2 linked regions of the Lonchura striata genome follow. The protein of the gene in region 2 purifies or fractionates together with the protein of the main gene of each other region. This does not show direct contact. Links are inferred from orthologs where the notes say so. Each region holds a gene or a part of one and is shown on either strand. Other genes may lie near its edges.

Region 1 (8,352 bases), on a different chromosome or scaffold from region 2:
CTACTTACCTGAGCTGCATTGACTAGACTCAAGTTTAATAAATACAGCTTTTTTTGAAAGCAAATCCTAATTTTTCTATCAAACTCCTAGCAAGCCTCAATGTGCTTTGTATTCCAGAGACTAGGTGTTCTGCATGTGGGACAGAGAATTGAAGAGCAGGCAGACTTTGAGAAAATCTACAAAAATGGTAGGGTATTTAGAGTTCAAACAATTATTTTTTTCTCTGTAGAGAGTATATAATATTTGTAATATTCTTCCTTAATATTTCTTATTGTTTTCCTAATCACAGCATGGGCTGATAATGCTAATGCTTGTGCCAAACAATATGCTGGAACTGGTGCCTTAAAGACCGATTACACAAGGCAAGTCAGCATTTCTTGTAAGGGCCTTCTGGGTTTTTGAGTGTGTTTGGGATTTTCTTCAAGTCCTCATATCTGAGAAGGTTATTAATCTGGGACTTAGGCTATAAATGAGTTTTTTGCAAGGGTTCAGTTGGTAAAAAGTCATACTAACATCTCCAGATTCCTTGCTGTGTTTATATGAAAGTAAAGGCTATCTGGAAATGAAAACCAAGGTGGTGTGCCATAAAGATGCACATCTATATTGTCTGATGGAAGGAAGTGTTATTTCAGTTTACACTTTTGTTACAAGTATGTGTAGTAATAACGCAGAGGCAGCACTAGATAAATGTATTCATATGCAGGTGTTCATTTAAGGTAGTACACATCCAGATAATGACAGAATGTAAATCTGAAATTATAGTCCTGAATTCATACATCTATTTTAAATATGTTTCACAATTTCTTTTTACAGAACTGGGAAGAGAACTCAGTGGGGCTTAATAATGGATGGCTGGAACTCATTAATACGTTACTACAAAAACAACTTTTCTGATGGATTTAGACAAGTAAGTAAAGCTTTTAACCATGGGGAAATGTATTTGAGAAACATTGCTATGCATTCGAACTCTTGCCTTCCCTTTCTCTTCCAGGATGCGATTGATCTTTTTCTTGGAAATTATTCAGTAGATGAAGTAGAACCTGCTAGTCCTTTACATGTCAAGAAGGATTGGAAGTTCTTAGCTGTGAGTATGGAGACTTTATTTGTAATAGGAGAGACAACAATTCAGTCCCTGGCTTCATTTTGCCTGAGTAGGACTTGTCTGTTAGTCATGAAGCATCCCTGTAATCTGGTAATGTTTCTATGATACCTGCTTATAGGATTAAACCCAGACTTTTCCCTTGACAGAAAATGGAGTGTCCTTGAGGTATTGGAAAAACTACTCTTTGCTTTTTTTCAAATGTGCTTCACCAGGTGGAAGGGGGGAAATTCTACTAGTCACTATCAATGAGTGTTTCCTTATACAGAAGAATCTTGTGGACTTCTTTTCTCGCACTTCTTGCAGAAGCATAGACTGTAACACAAAACACCCATTTTTTTCATTTTTCTTCACCTTATCTTTCTATTTTGAAATGGCATTTGGGAACATAATGGGGTTTAACTGGTGTATTTTTTTTAAAACAAAGCATAAGCCTCAACCTCTCATTTAATGCACAGGAAGTGTATTTCAGTTTTAAATATAATTATTGAATACAGTCTTCCAAATTTTGGAACTGTCCAAACTTTTATTTGTACCTGAATGCAGGTGAATTGAGAAGCAAAGCAAGTAAATAGCTTTACAGTACTACCCATCTTAAAGGAAATTAAGGAACATATTTACTGGTGTATCAAGTGATTATTCTGTTTCTCTTTCCTCAGTTGCCTATTATTATGGTGGTTGCTTTCTCCATGTGCATTATTTGTTTGCTAATGGCTGGTAAGTCACTATTGAATTTAATTTTATAAGACTGGGTTATTTCTCTGTGAACTTTGTGTAAATGGTTACAATAACTGTTCAGTGTAGAATTGCTTCTCTGTCATTCTAAAAGGTGCTTGAACATGGCTCTGGAGATTGAGGTTTAGCACTGTATCATTAGTGTGGAAAAATCTTAGGTGCTGTAGAATACAGTGTTAAGACTCATGTAGAAGTCAATTAAGGGACAGTTAATTATCCCCAAATCTAGATGCACCTTGGTAGACCTGTAGCTTTATCATAGGCTGGATGAAGCCCCAGAGGAATACCTGTCTAATTTTGGGCAGAAAGACAATTCAGAGCGGTCAGATACAGGCATAAGCCTGATTCTGATGGACTTCCTTTTAATCTAAATCTGTGTTGGGAGTGGTGAAGGGTTTTTGCCTCCTGCTTTTGCCTTGAATTTTTTTACATTATTGCCAGTAGAGTTCTTGACTGACTTCCACAGATCTCTGTTCAATGTGTTCCAAGAACTGTGTGGCAAATACAAATATTCCAAGGCAAGGAAACGGAAGATCTGTGGAAGACTTCTGATTTCATTTGACAACAGATTTCTGAGGGAGAGCTTGAAATATTTGCATTTGTCCTAAAGTAAAACTGTCTGCTAATTGGAGATAATGAGCTAAAAGCTTTGTCTGACTCTTTCTCAGGTGATACATGGACTGAGACACTGGCCTATGTGCTTTTCTGGGGAAGTGCCAGCTTTGGAACTTTTGCTATCATCCTTTACAACGGCAAAGATTTTGTAGATGCACCCAAGCTGGTCCAGAAGGAGAAGATGGACTGAATTTGTGTGTGTGGAAAGCGGCTTGGTACTGAGGATTCTTCAAGCCACACTTGGAGTCTCTACTGACCTGCTTTCCACACCAAAAAATGCTCTTATGAACATTCTTCCTTGGCAATGGGGGAGGGGTCAGGGGTAAGGAAACGGTGTCCTGTGGTGGTGGTAGCTTTCAACTGAGACCTGACTTGACAGTCTTAGTTGCAATGGTCTTTGGAATATTGCATTAGTGGGCAGGGCTCCACTCTTACTGGAGTAGTGCAAAGACAAAAGCCAGCTTTTTGGTTCTGGAATGCCTTGGAGCTTAAGTGGACTGCTGAAGCTCATGCTCCACCTGGGTTGTTTCAGCTGGTTTTTTGGCCTTGACAGGAGAGAATTTTGATGCTGTTAATGTCTCAAAATACCCAAATGTTGAAGCATTATTAATGGAACATCTGATAGGGATCTCTGAACAAATATGGCTTCTTACCAATAAAAAGTCTTGGTCCAGATTTACAGCTGGATTACGTTTGTTGTGATAAAGTCTGTGTTAAGGAGTCTTTCGTGCATATTTGTGTGTGGATTCTTTTCACTAAATATGAAAGATTTATGAATCCTAATGCTATTCTAAAATGAGGTTTTTGTCCTGTCTTGTTTATCTAGAACTGATGCAATATTCTGCTAATCATTGTTTGGGTGAAAGGGCAGTGTAATTGGATGTTCCTGAAGTTGCAAATGTCTTGCACTGTTTCAATACTACAGTCTCCATATGAAAATCGAGTAGTTAGTGAGTTAAAATGTAGAATTTTATTTCTGAAGATGTAAACAAAATCAAAGAATGTAAAAGTCCTTTGCAGTGTTTATTCAACCTTCCTTATGCTAAAGTTCCAAAGTACTTCATTATTTTAAGAATGGGTCACAACATAAAAGATTAACTTCATATTGTTTTGCTAGTCAGCTGCTTCTATCCTTGGTTATGTTGAAATAATTTATGAAAGAAGGAATAACAGCCTGAGAAGAAAGCGGTAAGTCTAAACTCCGTATTTCTGCTTGGGAGCAGCAGCTTGCTTTTCATGCATGATACTGTAATACACTCTTTTAAGAAAAAAAAAAAAAATGGAGGAAAAAAACTGCAGACTAATTTGTGCTGGTTAATGTGTGTCTTTAAATTTAGTGCTTCCAAGCTGTATAAAAATAAGGACCAATTTTAAACTATTTTGTCACTTATTTTATATGGTTTGTTCAAAACCAGACATGGAACTTGCTTAAGGCGCTGTGCATTGTTTAATATTTCCTGTAAGTACAGCTGTATATTCAGATTGCAAATATAAAATTTAAATGGGGGGAAGGGACAAAAATGTAGAATACTACTAGGGCTAGCACAGGTGTCATTATTGAAGCTAGAACACAAAACACTGATACTCCAGTGTTCCTTTGTGTCATGACTGAAAATATGTACAGATTTTTTTTTTTTTTCTTCTTCTTTTTGCAACTGTTCATTTTAACCTTGAATGTTTCTGGAGGCCTCTCTGGGTTTTGTGTAAACATAACCTGTTTATGAGCACTAGTACTTGCAAGGTATCAGTTTGCTTCTAGATGCTGTAATGGAAAAATACCAGTTGGTGGCTAACTAGGAAGTCCTCCTAACTTAAAATTTTCAAAGGTGAACTCCCTCATGGGCACAAAGTATAAGAACATCATAGATTCAATATTTGAAAGCAATGGTTCTGGTGGCTCAATGGCAGGTGGAGTTTGAAACTTGGCTCAGTTGTCTTGCAGCCTAGAACTGAGTTGTGCATCTTTGGTAACGAACTTGTTGCAGCAAAGACCAAACTTGAATTGCTAATATAGAAGGTTTGTAAGACTTAGAATAACGTAGGTTTTAGAAGTTGGAAGGCACCTGTGTTTCAGTGCTTTGCAAAGACTCTGTATTTCTAAAATCACAAATGGTGTACTACTCTTCAAATACAATAAAATGTTCAGCTTTTCTACATTGCTGTCTGCAGTGCATTTTGTACTTTGGAGCAGACTGTTCCCAAATCGGAGCTGTTTCACACCTGAAGGCTGCTTCAGTTTTGTGTGTGCTCATTGTTGCAGGTGGGAACCATCACTCAAACAGGGCTGATCTGGGGCAGTGTCTGATCCAGTCTGCACTGTGAGATGTTCACTCCTCTCAGACATGGCTGGATCTCTCTCTGGAGCACCTGTGGCTGGAGTGCTCCAGCGCTGCATCCCCAGGGTCACCTCTGCTCAGGGCCGATGGCTCTCTGTCTCTTTCCTCACAAGGGCACTTCAGTGCCTTATTGGCCATACCAATAGGTGAAAATTCTTGCTATTACAGCTCTGGATCCTGAAGCTGTAACTTTTATCACAATAAATTAGTGCTTTACAGGTTCTAGGCCTTGGATTTCTTTTCCTATTTGTAAAGCTCAAAGCAGGTTTAAAATGAAGTACACTATTTGATTTTTTTTCTAACATTTATTTTTAATTAAGGACGGCAAGCTGGTAGTTGTCAAACCTTACAAAAAGCCAGGCTTTCATAGACCAAGTCCCCTCACTCCTATTCGTATCTCCTTCCCACCATGCCCATTCTTTTTCCCCGTCCCTCTTTTCCATCCTCTCACCTTTTCCCCGCCCTCTCCCCCCAGGGGCGGCAGCAGGCGCTGCTCGGCGCTCGCCGCGGGTCCTCCGGGCCGCTAGGGGGCGCTGTCGCGGCAGCGTCCCGGCGAGCGCGGCCGGCGCGGCCTATCCGAGAGGCGCCTCCGCCGCGCCGTGCCCGCGGCTCTCCGCTCGCCCGCGGCTCTCCGCTCGCCGGGGCTCCCGCCCGCCGCTCCGCGCCCGCCCGCCCGCCGCCATGAAGCTCGTCAGGTGAGCGGGTGGGCGCGGGCAGGGGCGGATGGAGGCGGATTGCCCGCGCCCGGCCGCGGCGGCAGCGCCGGGCGAGCCCGCGCAGTCCGGGCCGCCCCGCGCTCTCCCGCCACCGCGGGCGGGAGCGGGAGCGGCCCGGGATGGGCCCGGCGGGAGCGGCCCGGGATGGGCCCGGCGGGAGCAGCCCCCTGTGCCGGGCCGCTCCCGCCCCGGGACTGCGCGGGTCGCTCGGCAAAGCACCCCCCTCCCCCACCGCCTTTCATTTTTGGAGGGAAACGCCGCGGAGTGCGTTAGCGTTGCTTTCCCGGGATTGTAACGATTTGTAAAATGGTTCCCTCTTTGTACAATAATGGCCGTTTCGCCTGGAAGTGGATGCTGGACCCGGCAGTGTGTCACTCAGGCGTCCCAGCTGCCGGTGGTTGGGCAGGACGCGGAGTGTCTCTGAACATCCCCAGCAGAATTCCTGAGCGCCGTCTTTGGGAGCTCAGGATGCCGAGCTGCTTGGTGCTGCCTGTCGAACGCGTACGGCTTTATGTGGGATTGAACGGGTCTGGAGTTTTTAAAAGGCGTTTTTAATTCACAGGTTTCTAATGAAGCTGAGCCATGAGACTGTGACCATTGAGCTGAAGAATGGGACGCAGGTGCACGGAACGATCACAGGTAGGGCAGGATGCAGCAAATACTGCCCCGCTGCCTTTCGGCAGACAGTTTACAGCCGCGGCTCGGATGAGCTTTTTGTCCTGTGCTCCCTCTTGCGGGGACCAGCACGGGGAAATGCAGGAGATGGGCTTTGTAACTCAGAGCTTTGTGTGCAAGGGCGAGGTGTGTTTGTGTTGCAGGAGTGTCTGGATATTGTTGGGGGTCGCTGGGAACAGCTGGGAGCTGTGACCAGCCACTCCATAGGCAGCCACAAAAGTACTTGGGAAATTCAGTGGGTCACGGATTGTCTTTGATGTTTAGTAGTGAGTGAGTCCATTCACTACTGGTGGACTGAGATTTCTTTGTTTTAAAGGTTTTGCTGGGAGCCTCTGAGCCCAGCTGCAGCTTTGCCTGCAGGCAGGCTCGGGGGGAAGGAAGCGAACTCTTCCAAACCTTGCTTGGCAGTCTCTTAGAATTTTAGTAGCACGGTCACAAAATGGTTTGGGTTGGAAAGGACATTAAAGATTATCCAGTTCTAACTCTCTTCCCAAGCACAGGGATAACTTCCAGTAGACCAGGTTGCTCAAAGCCCCATCCAGCCTGGAACTCTGCCAGGGATGGGGTATCCACAGCTTCTTTGGGCAGCCTTTTCCAACTGATGTGGTCTGAAATTGGTTAAATTTTGCATGTAGACTAAAAAATAAAGTAAATTATTTCTGTTGAACACGTTTTAAGGCAGATCTAGATGGAAATGCATATTTGCATATGTTTGATTGCATGAGAGGCAGGTTTGAGAACGGCAGAGCCGGGTGTGGGATACAGGGCAAAGAGGAATCCTGGCCAAGAGAATCTGCTCTCCCGGTGCTGCCAGAGGTCTGTCCTGTGGGTTCCTAGGAATTCCTGATTACCAGGTGCTTCTTCGTACCACTGAGCTGAAAGTTGCAGAGAATTCTGAAGGGTTCATTATGTAGTTCTCAGGTATTAAAACATGTGCAAGCGAATTTGTTTGCTTTAATAACCTCAGTGAGGAACGTTGTTCTGAGTGTTCTGTGAGCTGTGCTTGGAGACAGCAGGAGGGATGCAGGTGGGGCACGTTGTGTTTAATGAGGCAGACCTTCACAGCTGAGCTGAGGAAGCCACTGCATCTGCCTTCCTAAACTCACCCCCAGGCAGCTTTCAGAAGCTCTTCTGCCCAGGCACTCTTGGAAAATAAAAAGTTACAACTCTTGTTAAGTCTGAATTTTATTCTAGAGGATTGCTGAGGTACTTTTTTGGCCAACAACAATCTGTGGGGATTTGGCAGAGTTCAAAACTGGCATTAGTTTGCAGCCAGGTCCATCAGTTTTTATCGGAGCTGAGTGAACCACCTTGGTTCCCAATGGCAGCGCAAGCTGCTGAACCCAGCCAGATGGGAAGCTAACACTGCTGGTTTCCTTACCTCACTGCTCTTTCAGGCTTAATTGCCTAGCAAAGCCTCTCTCATTTGCTGCTAAGAATCCACAAAAACATTGCACAATATCCTCATCCTCCCAGCTCCAGGGCAGGAGCAGGGCTGAAGGCGCAGGTTTTGTGTAATGCCCCTCACACCAGCCAAGGGACTGGGTCAGTTGGAGCTGTGTAAAATCAAGAGGGAGGAGAGAGGAGAGAGGACAGAAAATAAAGTCACTGTCATCTTGATCTTCATAGCTGGAGGTCAGATCTCACCTAAAGCTCTGCATATGCAAAATAAAAACTTCTGGGGGTTTTTTTATTGCTTCTCAGAGCTGTTACACAGTAAATGCATCCAACTGAGATGTTTTTTTCCAGTTTGGAATTATGCATAACACAGCATAGTGTGCACAATACTAATTCCATACAAGTCATATGTACTGGCTGTTCTCAGACTTTGTAACCACAGTGGCTGTTTCTTGTTGTGGGGTATTTTATGGACTTTCATAGAGAATTCACTCTGGTGTTGAATGTATTTTATCAGAAGGTAAATGTTGCTTTTGTGGTTGGATTCTCCTGAGGCTTACAGAAAAAGGAAATGACCCAGGTTATTTTTCCTCCTCCAAGATTTATTTTACTTCTTTTTAAAGGACTAAAGATTAGTATTCGCCTTCTGTAATAAGCAGTAGTTTATTTGTTGTTTGGAGGAGTTATTTTAATTATTTACAAAGCAGCTATTGCCAGGACCTGGATAAAGATCTCTCACCATGAGGAACTAAAGGCCTCTCATGGTAACTGCCATAAT
Region 2 (7,952 bases):
CCAACCCCACGGGACCCCCCCAGCCCCATGAGACCCCTCCCAGACCCACGGGACCCCCCCAGCCCCACGGGATCCCCCCAACTTACAGAGCTTGAGCTCGGACTCCACCTCCTGCTGTCTGCGCTCGATCTTCTCCCGCCGCTGTTTGGGTAAAAAAAGGGAGAAAAACGACCAAAAAATGGGGGTGGGATTAATCTCAGGGGGTCCCCGAACCCACAGTGACCACCCACAGCCCCCCAAAATCCAGTGGGGACCCCAAAAAACCCCAGTGGTGGGGAGGGAGCACAACCCAAGAGGCTCCTCTAAAACCCAGAACCAAGCTCTGCCTTGAGGACGAGTTGAATTTTAGGGGGGGACACCCCCTTGGTGCCAGTTTTGGGGACCCCCCCCAGCACTCCCAGCAGGGTGGGGAAGGGGCTGAGCCCTCCTGAGGGGGGCTGCACCCCATTCTGGGGGGGGTTTCCCCCCGTTTGGGGGTTCTGGACGTACCTTGCGCTCCATGCGCTCCTCGCGCGTCTCGGCGCGCGTCGGTGGGGGGGCATCGCGGGGGTCCTGGGGGGACACAGAGGGGTTTTGGGGGGTCACAGAGGGGTTTTGGGGGGTCACAGAGGGGTTTTGGGGGGTCACAGAGGGGTTTTGGGGGGTCCAGGAGGGTTTTTGGGGTGGAGAGGGGGTTTGGGGCATAGTTATGGGGGTCTGGGGGAGTCTAGAAAGGGGTTTTTGAGGATTTGGGGGGATGCAGGGGAGGATTGTGGGGGTCCGGGGTGGTTCTGGGGAGTTCTGGAGAGGGTTTTGGGGAGTTCTGGGGGGATTTTGGAGCTCTGGGGTGGTTTTGGGGAGTTCTGGGGAGGGTTTTGGGGGTCCACGGTGGTTTTGGGGACTTCTGGGTTGGGGTTTTGGGGCTCTGAGGTGGTTCTGGGGAATTCTGGGGTAGGGTTTGGGGAGTTTTGGGGGTCTGAGGGAGTTTTGGGGAGTTTTGGGGAGTCCTGGGGTGGGGTTTGGGGGCTTCCAGGGTGGGTTTTGCCGGGTTTTGGGGGATTATGGGGCTCCAGGGTGGTTTTGGGGGGTTCTGGGGTGGGGTCTGGTGGTTTTGGGGGGATTATAGGGCTCCATAGGGGTTCTGGGGAGTTCTGGGGTGGGGTTTTGGGGTTTTTTGGGGTCTGGGATGGTTTTGGGGAGTTCTGGGGTAGAGTTTTGGGGGTCTGGGGAGGGTTCTGGGGGTCCGGGATAATTTTGGGGATTTCTGCGGTGGGGTTTGGGGGGTTTATGGGAGGGTTTTGGGGGTCTGGGGAGGGTTTTGGGGATATCTGGAGTGGGGTTTTGGGGGATTGGGGAGTCCTGGGGTGGATTTTTGGGGAGTCCTGGGGTGGGTTTTGAGGGTCTGGGATGGTTTTTGGAGAGTCCTGGGATGGAGTTCTGGGGGATTGTGGGGGTCTGGGGAGGGTTTTGGGGGTCCTGAGGGGTTTTGGAGAGTCCTGGGGTGGGGTTTTGAGGGATTGTGGGGATCTGTGGGGGTTTGGCCAGTCCTGGGGTGGAGTTTGGGGATCTGGGGAGGGTTTTGGGGGTCCGGGGTGGTTTTGGGGAGTTCTGCAGTGGGGCTTGGGGGGTCTAGGGGTGGAGTTTTGGGGGTCTGGGGAGGGTTTTGGGGGTCTGGGGAGGGTTTTGGAGAGTCCTGGGGTGGGGTTTTGGGGGATTGTGGGGATCTGTGGGGGTTTGGCCAGACCTGGGGTGGAGTTTGGGGGTCTGGGGAGGGTTTTGGGGGTCCAGGGTGGTTTTGGGGAGTTCCACAGTGGGGTTTGGGGGGTTTAGGGGAGGGTTTTGGGGGTCTGGGGGCTTTGGGGTACCTCAAACTCCCGGATGTAGGGCGCGATGCCGCTGTAGGGTTGGTTGTGGTGCTTCTCATGGGGCAACTTCTCCAGGGGGGGCAGGTAAGGGATGGGGTCCCGGGGGGCAAAAAGGGCCAAAAGGTTGGGGGGCAGGAACTGCGTCATCCTGGGAGGCTCTGGGGGGCACAGGGGGGAGGTCAGGACCCCCAGAACCCCAAAAAACCCACCCCAAAATCCCCAAATTCCGCCCTCGCTGCAGCTGATTCATCCCACGCTGGATCCCCAAAAACCCACCCCAACCCCCCAGAACATTCCTGAGACCCCCCCCAGAACCTTCCTGGGTCCTTCTAACCCCACACCGACCACCCCCATACCCATTCCAGACCCCCAAAACCCCACCTGGGACCCCCCAAAACCTTCCTGGGCTCCTTTCACCCTACACCAGCCACCCCCAGACCCCCAAAAACCCCACACTGCACCCCATAACCTCACCTGGGACCCCCCAAAACCTTCCTGGGTCCTTCTAACCCCACACCAGCCACCCCCAGACCCATTACAGACACCCAAAACCCCACCCTGGGCACCCCAGACCCCCATAACCCCACCTGGGACCCCCCAAACCTTCCTGAGCCCCTCTAACTGCACACCAGCCACCCCCAGACCCCCCCAAAATCCCCTCCAGACACCCCTAGACCCCCATAACCCCACCCCACACACCCCCCAGACCCCCCAAACCCCCCCAACACCCACAGACCCCCCAAAATCCCCTCCAGACACCCCTAGACCCCCATAACCCCACCCCACACACCCCCCCAAATCCCACAGCCGCCCTCAGACCCCCCAAAATCCCCTCCTAGACCCTCATAACCCCACCCTGGACACCCCCCAGACCCCCCAAACCCCCTCCCAACATCCAAAACTGCCCTCAGACCCCCCAAAATCCCCTCCTAGAGCCCCATAACCCCACCCTGGACACCCCCCAGACCCCCCAAAACCCTCCCCCAACACTCACAGCCATCCTCAGACCCCAAAATCCCCTCCTAGACCCCCATAACCCCACCCTGCACACCCCCCAGACCCCCCAAACCACCCCCAGACCCCCCAGAATCCCCTCCTAGACCCCCATAACCCCACCCTGCACACCCCCCAGACCCCCCAAACCACCCCCAGACCCCCCAAAATCCCCTCCTAGACCCCCATAACCCCACCCTGGACACCCCCCAGACCCCCCAAAACCACCCCCAGACCTCCCCCAAATCCCCACCGGACACCCAGAGCCACCCTCCGACCCCCAAAATCCCCCCCGGACACCCCTGGACCCCTCAACCCCGCCCCAGCGCCCCCAGCCACCCTCAGCCCCCCAAGCCCTCAGGGCAGCGCCCCCCCCTCACCCTCCCCACCCCTCCCCGCGCCCCCCGCCGCTCCGGGGCTCTCCCCCTCTCCCGGGCGGGTCCCCCCCGGCCCGCTGCCCTCTCGGGGTCCCTCCCGGAGCCGCCCCCGGAGCCCGCGGCCCTCCCGGAGCCCGCGGCCCTCACGGACCCCGCGCTGCCTCCGGCTCCGCGCGCGCCGCCCCCCGCGCATGCGCGCCCGCCGCCGCGCCAACGGAAGTGAGGGGCGAAACCGGAAGTGGCGGCGGCGGAAAGGCGGGGAAGGGGCCGGTAACGGTTCCGTGAGGGGGCGTGGTCAAAGGGGCGTGTCCATGCAAATGAAGGAGGCGTGGCGGACCAATCGCTGTTAGGGGCGTGGCTTAATTAACCGGTGCTGTGGGCGTGGTCTGCTGAGGAGGCGTGGTTATGAGATGGCCACGCCCCCACCGCGCGCCATGGCAACGTGGGCGGGGCTTCGCTGCCGGGCCGGGGGTTTCCATGGCAACCGGGAACAGCCGCGGGGTCCCCCCCTCCCTCCGTAGCAACGGGGAGGGAACAGCCCGTCTCGTTGCCATAGCAACCAGGTTGCCACCCACCCCCCCCGTGGGACACCCCGCGTGGTTTCCATGACAACGGAGAAAAAAAATTTAAAATAAAAACCCAAAATCCAAAATTATAAATCACGTCGCCACGGCAACCGGGATGCTCCCCCTCCCTCATCCCTACACAGGTCACACCCCCCCCCCCCCGTCCCGTTGCTATGACAACCAGGGTGACACCACCCCCCCCACCCTTCCCAATTTTGGGGTGGGGGGGTCCCCTCCTGCCCATCCCCCCCCCCCCACCGGGGTGTTCCCCCCCCCGTTAGCCATGGGGGAGGGGCGACAGCCATTCCCCGCCCCTCCCCCACCCCCCCAGGGTTGTCACCCACCCCTTGGGGACACTCGGTGACCCCGGGGGGGGTGGGGGAGGACCCGGTGTCCGGTCACCCCCCCCAGGGGTGTCACCCCCCCTTGGGGACACTCGGTGACCCCGGGGGGGGTGGGGGAGGACCCGGTGTCCGGTCACCCCCCCCAGGGGTGTCACCCCCCCTTGGGGACACTCGGTGACCCCGGGGGGTGGGGGAGGACCCGGGTGTCCGGTCACCCCCCCAAGGGATGTCCCTCCCCCCCTTGGGGACACTCGGTGACCCCGGGGGGGGGGAGGACCCGGGTGTCCGGTCACCCCCCCCCCCAAGGGATGTCCCTCCCCCCTTGGGGACACTCGGTGACCCCGGGGTGGGGTGGGGGAGGACCCGGTGTCCGGTCACCCCCCCAGGGTTGTCACCCACCCCTTGGGGACACTCGGTGACCCCGGGGGGGGGTGGGGGAGGACCCGGTGTCTGGTCACCCCCCCACCCCAGGGGTGTCACCCACCCCTTGGGGACACTCGGTGACCCCGGGGTGGGGGAGGACCCGGTGTCCGGTCACCCCCCCCCACCCCAGGGGTGTCACCCCCCCTTGGGGACACTCGGTGACCCCGGGGTGGGGGAGGACCCGGTGTCCGGTCACCCCCCCCCAGGGGATGTCCCTCCCCCCCTTGGGGACACTCGGTGACCCCGGGGGGGTGGGGGAGGACCCGGTGTCCGGTCACCCCCCCCAGGGATGTCACCCCCCCTTGGGGACACTCGGTGACCCCGGGGTGGGGGAGGACCCGGGTGTCCGGTCACCCCCCCCCACCCTCCCCCCCCCCGTTATTTTTAGCGCGGGGGGGAACCCGACACCGCGGGGCCACCCTGTCACCCTGTTTACGGGACAGCGGCGGTGACAGCGGGACGGCGGGCCGGGGACACCCGGTGACAGGGACAGGGGCCGGGGACACCCCGTGGTGGCGGGGGTGGGGGGGGGGTTGGGGACACCCGGGTGACGTGGGGGGGAGGGGGCACCCGGGGACAAGGTGGGGGGGCAACCCCTGGGGACAGCGGGGACACCCCGGGGACAGCGGGGACACCCCCGGGACAGGGTCAGGAGGGGTGGGGACACCCCCAGGACAGCGGGGACACCCCCGGGACAGCGGGGACACCCCGTCGACAGGGTCGGGAGGGTTGGGGACATCCCCGGGACAGCGGGGACACCCCGGGGACAGCGGGGACACCCCGGGGACAGGGTCGGGAGGGGTGGGGACACCCCCAGGACAGGGTGAGGAGGGGTGGGGACACCCCCAGGACAGGGTCAGGAGGGGTGGGGACACCCCCAGGACAGTGGGGACACCCCCAGGACAGGGTCAGGAGGGGTGGGGACACCCCCAGGACAGCGGGGACACCCCGGGGACAGGGTCAGGAGGGGTGGGGACATCCCCAGGACAGGGTGAGGAGGGGTGGGGACACCCCCAGGACAGCAGGGACACCCCCAGGACAGGGTCAGGAGGGGTGGGGACATCCCCAGGACAGTGGGGACACCCCCAGGACAGGGTGAGGAGGGTTGGGGACACCCCCAGGACAGAGTGAGGAGGGGTGGGGACACCCCCAGGACAGTGGGGACACCCCGGGGACAGGGTCAGGAGGGGTGGGGACATCCCCAGGACAGGGTGAGGAGGGTTGGGGACACCCCCAGGACAGAGTGAGGAGGGGTGGGGACACCCCCAGGACAGTGGGGACACCCCGGGGACAGGGTCAGGAGGGGTGGGGACACCCCCGGGACAGGGTTTGGGGACAGGCGGTGACACGGGGCCAGGCCGGTGGCAGCCGCTGGGGACCCCCCGGTGACACCTTGGGGACAGGAGGGGACCTTGGGGACACCCCTGTGACACTGGGGGTGGGGGCGGTTTGGGACACTCGGTGACAGGGGTCTGGTGGCTTGGGGACACCGGGGACACCCTCGGGGGGACGCAGTGACACCGGGGGACACCAAGAGTTGAGGGGTCCCCCCAAATCTTTGGGGTCACCCCCGAGGACCTCAAAGGTCCTGACCCCCCGTGAGACCCCCCCGAGGTCCACCCAGCTCCAACATTTTTGGGGTCCCCCCAAATCTTGGGGGTCACCGTGGGACCCCCAAAGACCTCGAGGGTTCTCCAAGGCTTTGGGGTCACCCTGGGACACCCCCTAAGTTTAGGGGGTCCCCCAAATCTGTAGGACCCCCCAAGGATCCTGAGGGTCCTCCAGCACCGTTGACCACTTGAGAATTTAGGGGCCCCCCAAATCTTTAGGGTCCCCTTGGGACCCCCAAAAGTTTTGGGGTGTCCCAACACCGCAGGACCTCGAGGTTCCTCCGGCATTGTAGAACCGCGGTTGGACCCCCAAAAATTTGGGGTCCTCCAACATTGTTGGCCCCGAATATTTTAGGGTTCCTCCAATCTTTAGGGTCCCACTTTGACCTCCAATAGTTTTGGGGTTCCCCAAATCTTTAAGGTCCCATTGGGCCCCAAATATTTCAGTGTCCCTCAAGATTTTTGGGTTGTTCTGAATGCTGAAGAACCTTGGGGTTCCTCCAACATTGTAGACCCAGTGTGGGACCCCCAGAAGTTTGAGGTCCTCCAACATTGTAGATCCCAAATATTTTTGGGGTTCCCCAAATCTTTAAAGTCCCATTGTGACCCCCAATATTTCAGTGTCACTCAAGATTTTTGGGGTGTCCCCAATGCTGAAGAACCTTGAGTTTCCTCCAGCATTGTAAACCCCGAATATTTTCAGGGTCCTCCAAATCTTTGACCTCCAATCTTGCCAACATTTTTCGGGGTTCCCCAAATCTTTGGGGTCCCATTGTGACCTCAAGTCCTTCAGTATCCCTCAAGATTTTTGGGTTTCCCCGACGCTGAAGAACCTTGAGGTTCCTCCAGCATTGTAAACCCCGAATATTTTCACAGTCCTCCAAATCTTTGGTGTCCCATTGTGACCCCCAATACTTCAGTGTCACTCAAGACTTTTGGGTTTCCCCCAATGCTGAAGAACCTTGAGGTTCCTCCAGCATTGTAGACCCCGAATATTTTTGGGGTCCTCCAAATCTTTGACCTCAAATTTTTTGGGGTTCCCCAAATCTTTGGGATCCCATTGTGACCTCAAGTACTTCAGTATCCCTCAAGACTTTTGGGTTTCCCCCGACGCTGAAGAACCTTGAGGTTCCTCCAGCATTGTAGACCCCAAATATTTTCACAGTCCTCCAAATCTTTGACCTCCAGTTTTTCGTGGTTCCCCAAATCTTTGGGGTCCCATTGTGACCTCAAGTCCTTCAGTATCCCTCAAGACTTTTGGGTTTCCCCGACGCTGAAGAACCTTGACCCTCTCGCCCCCCGCTGACCCCCAGGACCGCCGGGGCCGCCCCCCACCTGCCCCAGGCTGCCCTCGGTGCCCTCTGCCCCGCCCGTGCCCCGTCGCGGGGGCGCCGCGGGCATGGGCGAGCCGCTGGGCTGCTGCGAGCGCGTGGCCATCAACGTGGCCGGCCGGCGCTTCGAGACCTTGGTGCGGACGCTGCGGCGCTTCCCCGACACCCTCCTGGGCGACCCCCGGCGCCGGCGCCGCTTCTTCGACCCCCAGCGCCGCGAGTACTTCTTCGACCGCCACCGCGGCGCCTTCGGGGCCGTGCTCTACTACTACCAGTCCGGGGGGCGGCTGCGGAGACCCCCGGACGTGCCCCTGGACGTGTTCCTGGAGGAGCTGAGGTTCTACCAGCTGGGCGACGAGGCGGAGGAGCGGCTGCGCGAGGCCGAAGGCTTCTCGGTGGAGGAGCCGCCGGCGTTGCCGCGTGGAGGGTTGAGGCGGCGGGCGTGGCTGCTGTGCGAGCACCCC

What was found.
Region 1: the proteins of SNRNP70 (region 2) and SNRPD1 purify together in Homo sapiens (affinity purification with mass spectrometry; 6 studies listed by BioGRID and IntAct, counting the BioPlex papers as one, with this or other methods). This does not show direct contact. The link is inferred for Lonchura striata from reciprocal best matches to the Homo sapiens genes SNRNP70 and SNRPD1.

The regions. Positions count from the first base shown.
Region 1 is NC_134603.1:111,362,183-111,370,534, reverse strand, and holds the start of SNRPD1 (small nuclear ribonucleoprotein Sm D1), read left to right. Parts: upstream 1-5,352; 5' UTR 5,353-5,466; coding exon 5,467-5,480; intron 5,481-6,063; coding exon 6,064-6,140; intron 6,141-8,352. Other genes in the region: SACM1L (phosphatidylinositol-3-phosphatase SAC1), read left to right, coding at 118-187, 290-362, 814-907, 992-1,084, 1,759-1,816, 2,503-2,639. UniProt on the Homo sapiens protein: Plays a role in pre-mRNA splicing as a core component of the spliceosomal U1, U2, U4 and U5 small nuclear ribonucleoproteins (snRNPs), the building blocks of the spliceosome.
Region 2 is NC_134640.1:2,127,881-2,135,832, reverse strand, and holds the start of SNRNP70 (U1 small nuclear ribonucleoprotein 70 kDa), read right to left. Parts: upstream 3,490-7,952; 5' UTR 3,366-3,489; intron 2,003-3,365; 5' UTR 1,992-2,002; coding exon 1,845-1,991; intron 553-1,844; coding exon 490-552; intron 142-489; coding exon 87-141; intron 1-86. Other genes in the region: KCNA7 (potassium voltage-gated channel subfamily A member 7), read left to right, coding at 7,557-7,952. UniProt on the Homo sapiens protein: Component of the spliceosomal U1 snRNP, which is essential for recognition of the pre-mRNA 5' splice-site and the subsequent assembly of the spliceosome. SNRNP70 binds to the loop I region of U1-snRNA.